Linked DNA regions of Medicago truncatula. The main gene of each other region encodes a partner of the protein of the gene in region 2 in a complex. Links are inferred from orthologs where the notes say so. Each region holds a gene or a part of one and is shown on either strand. Other genes may lie near its edges.

Evidence for each region.
Region 1: the proteins of peroxisome biogenesis protein 22 (region 2) and protein PEROXIN-4 are in contact, whole or in part, in a crystal structure (PDB 6XOD), measured with the Arabidopsis thaliana proteins. The link is inferred for Medicago truncatula from reciprocal best matches to the Arabidopsis thaliana genes PEX22 and PEX4. Residues at the interface, in NP_566696.2 of Arabidopsis thaliana: Tyr182, Val187, Leu188, Asp189, Asp190, Glu193, Asp214, Lys215, Leu217, Phe218, Cys219, Ser220, Thr221, Gly224, Ser227, Phe228, Arg230, Gln231, Leu232, Glu233; in NP_001031939.1 of Arabidopsis thaliana: Phe78, Phe84, Lys85, Asn125, Asp127, Asn130, Leu131, Gly135, Asp136, Val137, Arg138, Gly139, Ser142, Met143, Met146, Tyr147, Arg149, Leu150.

Annotation. Positions count from the first base shown.
Region 1 is NC_053044.1:54,405,055-54,412,399, forward strand, and holds the start of protein PEROXIN-4, read left to right. Parts: upstream 1-4,328; 5' UTR 4,329-4,475; coding exon 4,476-4,481; intron 4,482-4,661; coding exon 4,662-4,781; intron 4,782-4,935; coding exon 4,936-5,064; intron 5,065-7,255; coding exon 7,256-7,345. Other genes in the region: TOM1-like protein 9, read left to right, coding at 95-179, 335-420, 562-801, 1,572-2,029, 2,166-2,749. UniProt on the Arabidopsis thaliana protein: Required for peroxisome biogenesis. Necessary for the developmental elimination of obsolete peroxisome matrix proteins. May be involved in the ubiquitination of PEX5, targeting it for recycling.
Region 2 is NC_053043.1:43,578,372-43,585,486, reverse strand, and holds the start of peroxisome biogenesis protein 22, read left to right. Parts: upstream 1-4,093; 5' UTR 4,094-4,295; coding exon 4,296-4,406; intron 4,407-5,375; coding exon 5,376-5,612; intron 5,613-5,755; coding exon 5,756-5,803; intron 5,804-6,594; coding exon 6,595-6,651; intron 6,652-6,739; coding exon 6,740-6,841; intron 6,842-7,115. Other genes in the region: cyclin-U1-1, read left to right, coding at 1-415, 860-1,139. UniProt on the Arabidopsis thaliana protein: May be tethered PEX4 to the peroxisome membrane and may be involved in a late step of the matrix protein import. Does not play a role in the biogenesis of the peroxisomal membrane.

The DNA.
Region 1 (7,345 bases), on a different chromosome or scaffold from region 2:
TATTCTTAGACGATGATAAACATTATTCTCTGTGGTACAAATTACCATATCTGACTCTGCATTGATTTGTTCTAATTGAGCTTTTTGTTGTCAGTTTGACCGAAATTCAGAATGCACGTGGTATTATGGACGTTCTTGCAGAAATGCTCACTGCTTTAGAGCCTAGTAGTAACAAAGAAGTAAGATGTTCAATTTGAGCTTTCAAATTATGATGTATCTAGATAGAAAAATATCATGTGAAACTTGAGGGTTTTATCAATGGGGGAAAAGCACCGATTTTTTTGAATATGTAGCATTAGTGCATTACATGTATGACCGTTACTTCTATGTTTAGGGCCTCCGGCAGGAAGTTATTGTTGATTTGGTGGAGCAATGTCGCACATACAAGCAAAGAGTGGTACACCTTGTTAATTCAACTTCGTAAGGCCTGCTGTTCTTTTTCATGATGACCACATCATCATATTCTTTACATGTTAAATTCATTTTGTGTATTCTTGAGGAAATTTCTTATTTAAATCCAAAGAAAAAACTAGTTATTATTTATGGTTTAATTTTCTCCAGGGATGAGTCACTTCTATGCCAAGGACTAGCTCTTAATGATGATCTGCAGCGTGTACTTTCCAAGCATGAATCCATTTCTTCGGGAGCTGCTGTTCAAAATCACAAGCATGAATCCATTTCTTCAGGAGCTGCTGTTCAAAATCACACTGAGAAACCAAATCCTGAACCTAGTGGAGCACTTATAGATGTTGATGGTCCTTTGATTGATACTGGAGATACTAGTAAACAAACTGATGCGAGGTAGTCCAATGTCTATTTCCGCTCTCCATTTCTACTCTCTGCATTCATTTACATAGGATACTATTGTTCTTAACTCTTACCCAATTATAATTCAAGTAATTCATTTTTCACCCTGTTATAATACACGTGATTCTTTTCTGTTTGCTATTTTCTTCTTGACACAGTGATTTTTCTAATTCAAAATAAATCAAAAATTATATTTGCCCAATGAAACTGGGAAATTTTTTTATATTGTTTCTAGTGGTCTGATCTCTTTGCTTTATGGGGATTTGAAGATGAGTTTTGGCTTAAAAGCTAGGGCTGTGTGAAGTTCTGTGCTAATTTATTTTGGATTGTTAGGGCTTGTTTGATTGTATTTTGGTTTTTAGTTTTTAAAACCAGTATTACCTGTTTTGATTTTCAAGTTTTAAAAACAAGAAAACAAGAATCATTTTTGTAAAACAATTTCACTAAAAAGTTAATCAGACAAGTTTTTCAGTTTTTATTTAAAAACTGAAAAATGGATTTTAGTAAGGGAATCAAACACTTAGTTTTTTTCATTCTTCTTATTTGACCTGGGAGCATTATGTGTCACAGGAAGTCTCCATTTATGTGTTTTACTCTATGTCGGAGCAATGGATCATAGGCTTAGTTTTGGCTGAAGATTTGTGTATATTAAGTATAAACATGCAGAAATAGATTGGTGTCGAAAAGCATTTCAAGTTGACTAAACCTGTCTGGTGCCTTTTGGTTATATTATATGGCTCTCAAGTTAATATGTTTTTTTACAGATCATCTTCTAGTGCTGAAGCAGGGTCTCAAACATTTAATCAATTGTTGCTTCCTGCACCCTCTACATCAAATGGTTCGGCTCCTCCAGTAAAAGTTGATCCCAAATGGGATCTGCTCAGTGGTGAAGAGTATAACTCACCAAAAGCAGATAATTCACTTGCTCTTGTTCCTGTAGAACAACAGCCTGCCAGTCCTGTGTCTCAACAGAATGCCCTTGTTCCTTTTGATTTGTTTTCTAATGGAAACATTGTACCCACTTCTGTTAATACCCAGCTAATAGCCCCCCAATTTCAACAACAAACTATCATATCTCAAGGTGTATTTTACCCGAATGGAAGTATGCCTAATGTGGGATCACCTCGGTACGAGCAATCAATATATACTCAAAACACAGGTCCTGCCTGGAATGGTCAGGTTGTGCAGCAGCAACAGCAACAGCCACCTTCACCCGTTTATGGTGCACTTAATGCTTCCTTTTAGATTTAATTCCTGTCTTGCTCAACTCCTTTCACAATTATGTTCTATTCTTTATAGTAGTTTCTATGATTTCTGATCTTTACTTTTGAGTTGGTTCATGAAATTTTCGTATACAGGTGCACAAAGTGGTGGATCATTTCCCCCTCCTCCTTGGGAAATTCAACCTGCAGACAATGGTAGTCCAGTAGCCGGCAGTCAATACCCGCAGCCACTGCAAGTCACGGTACATGTACAAACTGCTGCCCTTCCTCAGGGACCTCAAGCAACCGGGTATGACCAGGCTGCTGGAATGTATATGCAGCCAAATGCTAGCCATTTCTCTTCAATCAATAACCAGGTTCAAAGTAACCAATTTGGTTTGCAGCCTCCGTATATTCAGGGTGTTGCAGGTCCTTATATGGGCATGGTTCCGCATCAAATGCAAAATGGTCCCGTGGCTTCCATGTATCCTCAACAGATGTATGGTAACCAATTTATGGGATATGGCTATGGTCAGCAACAGCAACAAGGGCCTCAATATATCGAGCAGCAAATGTATGGTTTATCTGTGAGAGATGATAATGCTTCAAGAAATCCTTACCAGGTTTCTGCTGCATCTTATGCGCCATCCGGAAAGCCTTCCAAGCCTGAGGATAAGTTATTTGGAGATCTTATTGACTTTTCAAAAGTGAAACCAAAATCCACTCCAGGCCCCAGCTGATAGCCCTTAAAAAACTAAGATTTGTTTTTTTGCCTTTTTCACTTGTTTGCCTACTCTTGCCATTTTTTTTCATTATTCTTTACATTTTACTTTCTTTATAGTAATATAATATATATGTATATTTTTGTTTTGTTACTGTTCCATATTGTTTTGCTTCTCTGCCAACCGGCGATAGATTTAGGCTATAATAATATTTCTTTTTTTATCCCTGTAATATATATATATATACCTACATTTTCACTTTGGTCCCTGATTTTTTATTTTTTTTGGAGTGATCTCCATTAAATGTATTCGTTTCATTACGGTCCTTGTTATACTATGGGGTTCCTTTTAGTTTTGTTCCCCATCATTTTTTTTTTCCTGTCCGCACTCCTTGTTTTCTCACTCTATGAACACCAATATTGTCTCCATTTTTTATTTTTTTGAGTGATCTCAAAAACGGGCAAACGGATCACTCCTGCTGTTTTGGTACTGCCATCTTCCCTGTGCACTTTTCAAGCGTTGGATTTAATCCAACAGTGTTGACAAAAGAGGAAAATGAGTGGTAAAGACAAAATCGAAGGCTGAGATTAATGTAGAATGTAAGGCTGGAGAGAACTAGCAGGAGAGGATCCAAAATTCAAAAGCGGAGTTTTTTTCCTTCTCAAAAACGGTGATTGGTTGGTGACCGACCACATCAAGTGATTTGTTTAGGTTCACCGATGGTTCTTCTAATTTAAAGTCACCCTTGGTTTATGCTTAATTAGTTCCATATATGATAGGGTCTCGACCCGAAAAAATGGGTTTGAAATGGAAAATATATATTACAGAGACTTAAATAATATTATATGGATTAAAGAAATAACGAGGATCAAAATGATAATATAAGATTGAATTCATAAAAAAGTTAACATTGAAAATGGACACCAATTATACTTGATTTGTGTACCCTAATTATCATATGAGAAAATGGGACATGCACTATAATTATAAAACTAGCCTTGACAATATAAATAGTTCTTATCAAACGACAATGTAAAACTAATTTACACTATTAGTGCATATTCCCTAAACTATTATTATTTATCAAATTAGATTAAAGAAAGATAGTATGTATTATTAGAGTAAACAAGTTTTATATTTATTTTTGAATGAGAAATTATAGTTGTTATGTTAGTAATTTTTCCTTACTAAGACTTAAACTAAAAGAATAAAAAAATGCAATTGTTAGTTTTAAAAGATGGTTACAAGATATATTCGTATGATGATGGAAAATTATTTTACACCATCATCATCACTAATCTCGTAAAATTATAGTGCACACTAAATTATTCAATAAAATTAAAAGTTAAAAAAATTATAAAAAAGAAAGTCAGCTGGAATCCAATCCCCATAATTGAGAAAAAGATAGAGAAAAAGAAAAATTAAATAATACTTTTTCTCAAAAATAAATAAATAAAATTAAATAATGACTATTTTTTAAATAATTAAATAAAATGTATTTTATGTGTGAGTGTCTAAATGACAAAAGGTTGCGTCTAAGGAAGACTTTCAACCAATCCCCTAGTGCCGTTTTGTCTATCTGTACGGTCTCTCCCGTGCAATTCTCCGCCGTTGTATTAATCCAACGGTTGATTCACAAAAGGGAAAAGTATCAATTAGAGGAGAGAGAAACGAATGTAGTGATAATTTTCTTCGACATTTTTTGAGATTTCTTCACCTCTTTTTCTTGTTGTGAATATCAATCATGCAGGTTCGTTCGTTAATGGATGCAATTCTTAGTGACTTCAATTATCTTGTATTGAATTGATTAGTAGGTCTTGTTTGTTGGTGGTTATTGGTTAGTTAGGGTTATGCAAAATTGGATTTGTGTTCTTGTAATTGCAGAAAGCTTAGCATATTGAAATTGGATTTGTTTGTGTTTTTAACGCAGGCATCAAGGGCGAGGCTGTTCAAGGAGTACAAAGAAGTGCAACGAGAGAAGACAGCTGATCCTGATATTCAACTCGTTTGTGATGATTCCAACATTTTTAAATGGACAGCTCTAATCAAGGTATGCTAGCGAATGCTCTCGACGATTAGAATATGGTTTATGATAGAACATTATGACGTAATTTGATCTGACCCCACATAGTGGGATAAGACTTAGTTGTTATTGTTGTTGGGATGATCTGAGATTTGCTCTGGTTTATTTTGTTTACCACCAGGGACCTTCAGAGACTCCGTTTGATGGGGGTGTTTTCCAGCTTGCATTTTCTGTTCCAGAGCATTATCCTTTACAACCTCCTCAAGTTCGGTTTTTGACTAAAATATTTCACCCCAACGTGCATTTTAAGGTACAATGGATTGCTCTGTAAGATACTATCAGATTGTTGTTTGCTGATGCTTTTCACTTTTAGAACACAATTGTATGATATCTGAAGAGAATTATATCATCCTAATTTGTTTTGCTGATGAATGATTTATCAAGCATTCCATATAAGTGATGATAATAGTTTAAAAATAGGGTAAATTGCATTGCATTGCCCTGAGATATGTTAAAATATCACACATACACCCTCTAGTTTGCCAAAGACACTAACCTCCCCCAACTTTAACACTGTTACCCGACAAAAAGAGAAAAAGTTTTTGTCTGCCGTCTTCTTCATTTGGTGTCTCATCTGTGAAACTGGCTTTCTGAGCCTAAAGCTCCGCTGCTGGAGGGTAATAATTGTATTTTTCTAAAGTCTGGTGTGAATGATGGATACACCCCGTGCCTTTGCTTTTTTCAGTTTGGTGTTTGACTTCATATATTGTCTACAAAATCAAGAACACGATGACAATAGCTAATAATATATCAAATTGGTTGGTCTATTTTCATCTTGGTTTGGCTGGTAAAACTTAATTATCTCCATGCCAAATTGAGCAACTAATATACCAAATTGGTTGGAACATGGCAGCACTAATATGCCTCACATGATTGGGGTATTGAGCCATTATCTAGATGTCTGCACCCTGTATGCCACTTGTTGTCGGGTTAACAATAAGCCGACCAATTTGGGTGAACTTTACGCTCATTGAACTTGTTGAAGTATGGATTTTAATTGGCAAAATAAAATGTACCAGTAAGTTAATGTTAATTCGGCAACACATGGTAATTCAGGTGCTGTATTTTAATTGTGATGGAAAAGGTAGATTTAGTAAGAGAGTAGCTTTACCAATGTCGTCATGCTTTCTTTGCATATTCCCTTCTTTGAAGATTATTTGCTGAGTGAGGGAAAGTAGTCTGACGCAATGTTTTAAAACCCTAACCGCAGCCGGGATCAACCCAGTCAAGGCCCTGTGTTAGTAGTCTAGTTGAACCGCATGACTGTTGACCCAGTTTATATTAAAATATAAATCGTTACAAATTTATTACTTATAAATACATATACTAAATTTATTTTTAATTTGATAAGTCTTGAAAGTTAACGTTATAACAATATAGTTTATAAAAGTTAAATGTTAATATATACTTTTTTTCGAAAAAAGTAGTAACATACATATTAAAGCAAGTAATCTAACACAGAAAACTAGTAACATCAGTTATATATATATATTTAAACAAGTAGAAGTGATAATTTTGCAAGATTCCACGTTTTCCCAGCAGTTAAGGATGTAAAGTAGCACATCAATTGTCTCATGTTCTACTCCTTAGAGATCCAGTGCCATTTATTTAATTTTTGATGTAACTACAAACCAGTTTAACTGTTGAATAGAACCGGTTCGACCAGTTCAACTGGAAATCAACCGGTTCATATGCTTATCTGGTCCAACACAGTGACTGGACCAGCCATGGCTCTGGTTTCCGGTTCGGCCTGTCCGGTTTTTAAAACTATGTTCTGAGGAATTTTTGTTTTAATGGATGGAAAACGATGTTAATTTATAAGGGAGGCAGCTGTCACCTTCAAAATTAAACGAGGATAGAGCTTGATTTAAAAATAGAGGGGATGTCTGTGTTATTTGAAGATATCCCAGGGAAGTCATTGTAATTTGTACTTAAAAATATCTAGTAGTTGTTCACATGAAGAGTGAATGGGATCTGATACCCTAGTAGTCTCTTTCATAGTTCTATGAACCATCAGTGTGAAATTAGGGGTATTCACAAGTTGGCTTGTTTCGAGTTTGTGGTATAAGAGGATCCAAACATGTTGCATGTGATTAGATTGGTTTTAATTTTTTTCTCTCCAGCCAATCCGAATCAAACAGCTGAATTAAGATTTAGACTGGTGTGGTTGTCTTGACTGCCTTCTCTATAATGGGAAGACCAATGATGTTGATAAGTTAGAGACTGGTAATTTCCACTATTACACCCCCTCCCCTTTGAGTTTCATAAGAACTTGTTGGAAACTGACAACAATATTGATTTGAAGTTGAATTCCTAGTCAATTATTTTTGCTTTCCTTTTGTTCTTTATAAATTTGATAGATAACTTCATTTTATTCAATTGGATTTGTTTTTCTTGACATTTTTTCATGAATACTTTTTAAACTTCTAATAATTTTCCAGACCGGAGAGATTTGCCTAGATATCTTGAAAACTGCTTGGAGCCCCGCATGGACTCTGCAATCTGTTTGTAGAGCTATAATTGCATTGATG
Region 2 (7,115 bases):
CAGCAAGTGAGTACAGCAACCATAGCCGGCAGAATCAGCCGGTAACAGGGCCTGCCGAGCTGAACTTGCCAAGAGTGCTGTGGATCCTCTCTTCCACCTTAGAGAAGCTGGTGTCTCGCAATGAAAAGCTAGTAGATGAGTTGAACCAGGAACTAGATAAGCTGAATAATGGCTCAGTAAGATTAGGGAAGAGCTTGAATTTGTTTCATGGCGTAAGAGCACCAGGAATAAGCATACCTAAGTACTTGGAGAGGATATACAAATACACTAATTGTAGCCCATCATGTTTTGTGGTTGGCTATGTGTATATAGACATGCTGACTCACAAGCACCCTGATTCTCTAGTCTTATCCTTGAATGTGCACAGGTTGCTAGTTACCAGTGTCATGGTTGCTTCCAAGATGCTAGATGATGAGTGAGTCCCTAACCCCATTTTACTTCTCCTAAAGCTTACTGTTTTATTGCACTATTAAAGGAACTGAAGTTGATTTAAAGGCCTATTTGGATTAGCTTATCCGAGTTTATCTATTACATAAACACTTATGAGACTCTTTGAGAGAGCTTATGAAAACTACTTGTGATATGTCCATTAGTTGTTTTTTTTTTTTTTGCTTATTATCATAAGTTCTCTATGATAGCTTAGAAAAACAATTTATAGTTTATATGAAAACAGATCGACTTTATTTTATTTTTTGTTATCGAAATAGTTTATGCATAAACACTTAAGCTATAAGTGCTTAATTAAGCTATTTATCCAGGCCTTTTAAGTAATGGTTAGTTTTACTTCTCTTTTAGCTTACTGTAATATCGTCTTTGTTCTGATTTTGTGCATCATGTTCTTTGGTTTTCTGAGCTGTAGACATTATAACAACGCGGTATATGCTCGAGTAGGAGGGGTTAGCAATGCTGAATTGAACAAGCTGGAATTAGAGTTACTCTTTCTGTTGGATTTTAAAGTTATGGTATGCCCTCGAGTTTTTGAGAGTTACTGTTTGCACTTAGAAAAAGAGATGCTTGTAAATGGAACTGGCTTGAAGATTGAAAGGATATTGTCACCAAAATCTTTTGAGACTGAAATATCAGTTGAAGATCAGCAAAGCTCTTCCCCACCTCCAATTGTGGATTATGGACTGACATAAGTACTTTTCTTTCTTTCTGTTGTCAATTTTGGGGTCCCTTGCCCTGTTTAGTCCTTCTCTTTTTCTTCATGGCTAAGCAATTATTGGATTATTCATTGGCCAGTTTCTTATTTATATGAATATGATTGATACGAACTTTGTCAAATTTGGCTTTAGTTGTAACAAAATACAATTATATTCATTGTTCTCTTTAAATTTTATTTTTCCTAAAGCTTGTTATTCTTGGAGTCATCATATAATGTACTTAATTAAATGATAAAAGTTATACAAACTTAAAGTGATGTATGTCTTCTTTTTCTCTCATTCTCACTTTTCTTTTTTGGTTAATTTTTTTATCACGTGATTTTGTCAAAATAAAATGAAAGATAGAATGATCAAAGAAATAATTTAATTTTCAAACCCTACTATTACATCAGAACCAATTATGTATGTGAGTTCAAAAAAAAAAAAGTTATAGTAAAAGTTTAACGTTTCTAATTTTTTTTTTTTTGAAAAAAAAAAGGTTCTAATCATCTAACATTTTATAATTGATTGCCAATTTAATTTACAATGTATGTTTAATTTAATTTAATTAAATACATAATTTGACGCACCCAATTTTTCTAAAAAGGAAAGATAGAAGAACGAAAAAAAAATTAATTTTTTTTAAGGAGAAAAAAAAATTATTATAAGACTAATGATTATTTTACTATTATTCTATATGAGATTCGAACTCAATTCCTTTTACTGTTGTTTTATGTGAGATTCGAATTTTGTTCCATGATGTTAATTTAATGCACTCACTTATATGAAGAATATATGAATTTAGCCAATAAAGGTTGGTTTAGATGGTATGAAGTTGAATGCATGTTAAGCAAAAAAACGAGTTCAACTCTTGCAGCCGTGTTTGATGAATGATATGTAAATATATTTGTAAGCCTCCTTTAAACCTTGAGATTTATCCTGACTCTAATGATCCCTCAAGATCCAACCAATCTAAACTTTTTTTAAAAAAAAAAAAAAAAAAACAAGAATATATAAATTTATCATAGACGAGTTCTTTCTTTGCAACTCAATTTTCTTCAAATGCAAGACTAGGCATGTCAATGGGGCAGGGTGGGGTCGGGTTTTACCTTCCCCGTCCCTATACCTGATTTTCATATACTTACCTGTTACCCTACCCATACCCAACGGGGATGAGAAATTGAATCTCATCCCCATCCCCGACGGGTTCGGGTATCCCCACTCCATCCCCATCCCCCGTATCGAATAATTTTTTTTAATAAAAAATAGAAGTGTTTTGCATCCCCAAGAGAAACGTTGTAATACATTATCCAACAATATGCTCACTTTAACATTTGTTAGACAGAATGATTTAGTTGATCCTTTAAATATCAATGGTAGTTTTTATTAACATGACAATTATCAAACAAAATAACATACATTTGTTAGACGGGTATGGGTTCGAAGTGGGTACCTAAATACCCGTTACCCGTCCCATACCCGTGTTTTGAAATCGGGGAAAATCCATACTCATACCCAAACCCAGTCAAAACGGGGAAAACCCGTCAAATTGAGTTTGGTTCGGGCGGGTAACTGCGGGTATGGGTTTTGTTACCATGTCTATGCAAGACGCATGAATCTAACTCGTGCTAAGTTACTTATGGTCTCTTTGGTTGAAGATAAATAAGGAAGAGAGAAAGAGGGAAGAGAGAGCAACTTTCTCTTGTTTGGAACGAAGAGAAATAGGAAATAGAGATTAAAAAGTAATGGGATCCATCACTTTTTGGTTTCTCCTCACAATAGAGAAGAAAATAGAGAAGAAAGGGGAGACAGAAGACTATTCACTTTGTTGTTCCATTGTTGCCCTTGCATTAAAATATTATATTCTCAATCTATTCACTTTATTGTAGGGGTATCTTGGTATTTTTATAAATAATCAACACTTCTTTCTCTTCTATTTCTCTCATCTCTTTTATAACAAACAACCCATCAAATCTACTCTATTTCTCACATATTTCTCTTTTCTCACTCTCTCTCTCTCTCTCTCTCTCTCTCTCTCTCTCTCTCACCTATTTCTCTCTTCACAACTTGTCTTCCAAACCAAACACACCCAAAGTGTCTAAATCCTTTATCACTCGAGCCAACCCACATATGAATTTACTTAAAATATGAATTTCTTGTTTAAGGGACTTGTGCTCCTTAAATATGTAGTTAGGGGTTCAATCCTATGCTCTTATGTGTGGAAAAAAATCAGATTGAAAATAAAGAATCCACCTTATATGTCTCACATGTTCTCCAACATATAAAAAACAATTATTTTTAATAAACTTGTCCATATTTTTATTAAAGAAATTAAAATATTTCTTTTTGAGTTTGTCTAACATTTGTAATATTGCACATGTTTAAAGCAACTAAAAATAGTATTTTTTTTATTGAAAGACAACAATAATTTATTAAAAAACTACATATTTAATATAAAATGAACAAGTTTCAAGACAAAGTTACTATTTTAAACTTCTTAACATGTGCAAATTTTCACTTGAAGAAAAACCTCTTTTTTTTTTATATGAGAAAATACCTTTATTTTTTATTTTTTATAAAACGGGTAATAGTAAAAAAAAAAAAAAAAAGGAGAATGACTATAATATAACAAAACTCTAGAATGTTATTTATTTGCCGGTAAAAGTTGGTTTAGTTGATAATGAGTTGAAATCTTATATCTCAAAATGAATAATATGATGAGTATTGAGACTCAATTTATCTAAACTTTCTTTTTGATAGCAACTCTCCCAAACTTTTTAATAAAAAAAAAGAATGTCATTTAGTTTTTATATTCTTTAATGAAGAAATAAATGTTTATTTTTAAGATAGATGCAAAAAAAAAAAAAAGTTTAATTTTAAAGCTAAAAACATGATTACTTACTTTTGTTTTTTATCTTTTAACCTAGGACGACATATTCATAAGATAAGATAAAATAATAGGATATTGGTAAAATTGGAAGAGAAACTTGGAAAGAACCTCTGACGACAGCTCATAGGCGCAGTTGTTGACGGCAAACGAACGGAGACACAAATAAAACAAAACATCATCTTTCTTCTTTGTATTTGAACAACGTTAATTCATTCAATTGTTTTTTTTTGTTCAAATTCCGGTGAGGCCTACGGTGGTGAAACATGGCCGTGTCTGGTGGTGACAACGATGATGCCTCCAAACTAGACCTCTTTCACCTCATCAAACGCTTTGGTGCTTTTGTTACTTTCAAGATCGGTCATCTCTTCTCTCTCGTATTCCTCTCTCTCTCTCTCTCTCTCTCTCTCTCTCTCTCTCTCTCTTCCTTTTTTCAATTATTGATCATTCTATTGGATCTGATATATGATATCAAAATATTGTTATTGTTTTTTTTTGTGATATATGATTGGTTCTATTTTCACTGTTATGTAAGAAATTTGATATTTTTAATGAATTTTTTTATGACCCTTTATCGTTGATTGAATGATTAGGAACCAGGGTTGGATAATTAACAACCCAAAGAGTGGAAGTTTGTTTTTTTGTTAGAAACTTTAAATGGGTTTTTCGCTTTTAATGTTGGGTGTGGGTAGAAACTAGGAAAAATGAGCTTTTATGTGTCATGGTTTTTGTCAAATTGGGGAAAAATTGTGACCTAATATGTATTTAAATAAGGTATAGTTTAAGTTGGATTGTACAAATGATCAATGTAATGTTTTGGTTTTTTTTGGAGGATGTGTAAATAAGGACTTTTACACTATCAATCAATAATGCTTGTTAAATTGTTAAAAACATTTGTCTTTAATCATTACTACTTATAAAATTACATATATGATTAGAAACAACAACATTAAAGAGAGAGTTGGGGTAGCACCGATGGGAGAAAAGATTGTGGAGACTAGGCTTAGGTGGTTGGGCATATATTGCAGAGAGAAGACTTGTAGATTATGTATTAAGGAGAGTAGATTAGATGGAAGGTAGTCAGATCACTAGTGGTAGAGGAAGACCTGAAAAAACTATAAGAGAAACTATTAGGACAGATCTAGAGATTAATGAGTTGGATCGAAATATGGCATATGATAGAACATTATGGTGTAGTTTGATCCATGTAGCTAATCCCACTTAGTGGGATAAGGCTCTCTCGGTTGTTGTTGTTGTCGACAATATAAAACTTTTGACACAAATAGTGTCTCAAAATTAAACTCGTGTAAATATTCCAAAGCTCATGATATTGTACTTGTTATTAGGATATTCGCACTATTGGGGCGGTAGCTGGTCTTGCTGTTGCGATTGTTTTCACTTGGAGGTTGTTGAGATCTCCTAATCCTACACAAGGGAGGCAACGGAAAAGGCAAGGTGGTGCATCTAGTAATCCTGGAGCTAGCACAAATTCAAATGCGTCGGTTGTTCCTTCTGATGCTTCTTTACCTTCAGATGAATTAAGGGCACAAAATGTTGTAGATGAGTTCTTTCAGCCAGTCAAGGTATGATGTTTTATTTTGTTTCCCACTTTCCTTTGCTTAATGATTCAGAATTCAGCCAATGCATGAATGTTTGTGGATTAATATCCGCTGTATTTTTTTATAGCTTTAGTATTCTAAGTTTGCTTTTTTCTCAATTTTTTCAGCCAACCTTGGGGCAGATAGTGAGGCAGAAGTTGAGTGAAGGAAGAAAGGTAATTAAACATATTCTCTCATGCACTCTTTATGTAGTAGTGATGTGTGTTCCAGACTTAGTTTTATGTTTATTATAGCCTTCTAGAAATTACCATCTCCTGTGATCATAAGAAATGACAATTTGGGAGACCACCATTGTCTTAGAATTTAAATTCTTAATCTACTTAAGGTTAAATTAACATGTCATGGCAAATTACCTGTTTATAGCTTTATAGATTAGAATTGTTGACATATGTCGATTGATTGTTATTACTCCTAGAGTATACAACTTCCTAGGCTAGTGCTTATTAATTAAGCATTCAATGTATTTATTGTAAAACCATTATAAATACAAAGTCTGTGATCTCATTATAGACCCACAAGAGACACGCAGAATTTACACGAAGTTTATATATTTTACCGACATCAATAACAATCTCATTACTTTAGGGAAACTTAAAATAAGTATTCATTAAATTAATGCTTTATAAGTTGATTTATTTAAAAGTGAAGGTTGTAAGTAAAGCCAGCTTTAAAATACAAGCTAATTTTATGTTTCTCTTTAGGTTAAAGGATGGTGCTTTAATTTGTTATATCTTTTATTTTGTCTATCTTAATAAGCGGCACTGGTACTATTCTTTTTCTCTTAATACACCTGAATAAGATTGTTATATGCATATCTTTGTGCAAAATAGTTGGGTACAAACTGGATGGACATGAGGAACATTTATTTACAAGTCTGTGTTGTTGGTTGTTAAACATTTGTTTGACCTATGTTTCCCGGCTATTATGACCAATAAGTTGTATGTAGGTAACCTGTCGTCTTCTTGGAGTGATCCTTGAGGAAAGTAGTCCAGAGGAGCTTCAGGTGTGAAATTGTCGTTTCTTATACTTTTGTTTTATTTTATGACATCAACACAGAGAGATAGCAATGCTGTTCATTCTGTTCTCTGCAGACCAAAGCCACTGTGAGATCCTCTGTGCTAGAAGTATTGTTGGAAATAACTAAATTCTGTGATTTATATCTCATGGATCGGGTTCTGGATGACGAAAGCGAGGTGTGTGTCACTTATCACCATATATTAATCACTCATCACGTCTTATGTAATGAACTTGATGGAAATGATGCACAATACTTCATGTTATATATGCTGCAAATTCACCATTTTTCAGTGTTATGGATATTTTTTTATGACCGAATGATTCTGTAAAAATGAACTGGGATATGGTAGTTACTTGAAGCAAAAACTCTTACCCTAAGATTCAGAACATGAAATTTAAGCTAGTTTTTTTTTTTTGGAGAAATGATATTTGAAGAATCATTTTTAAACA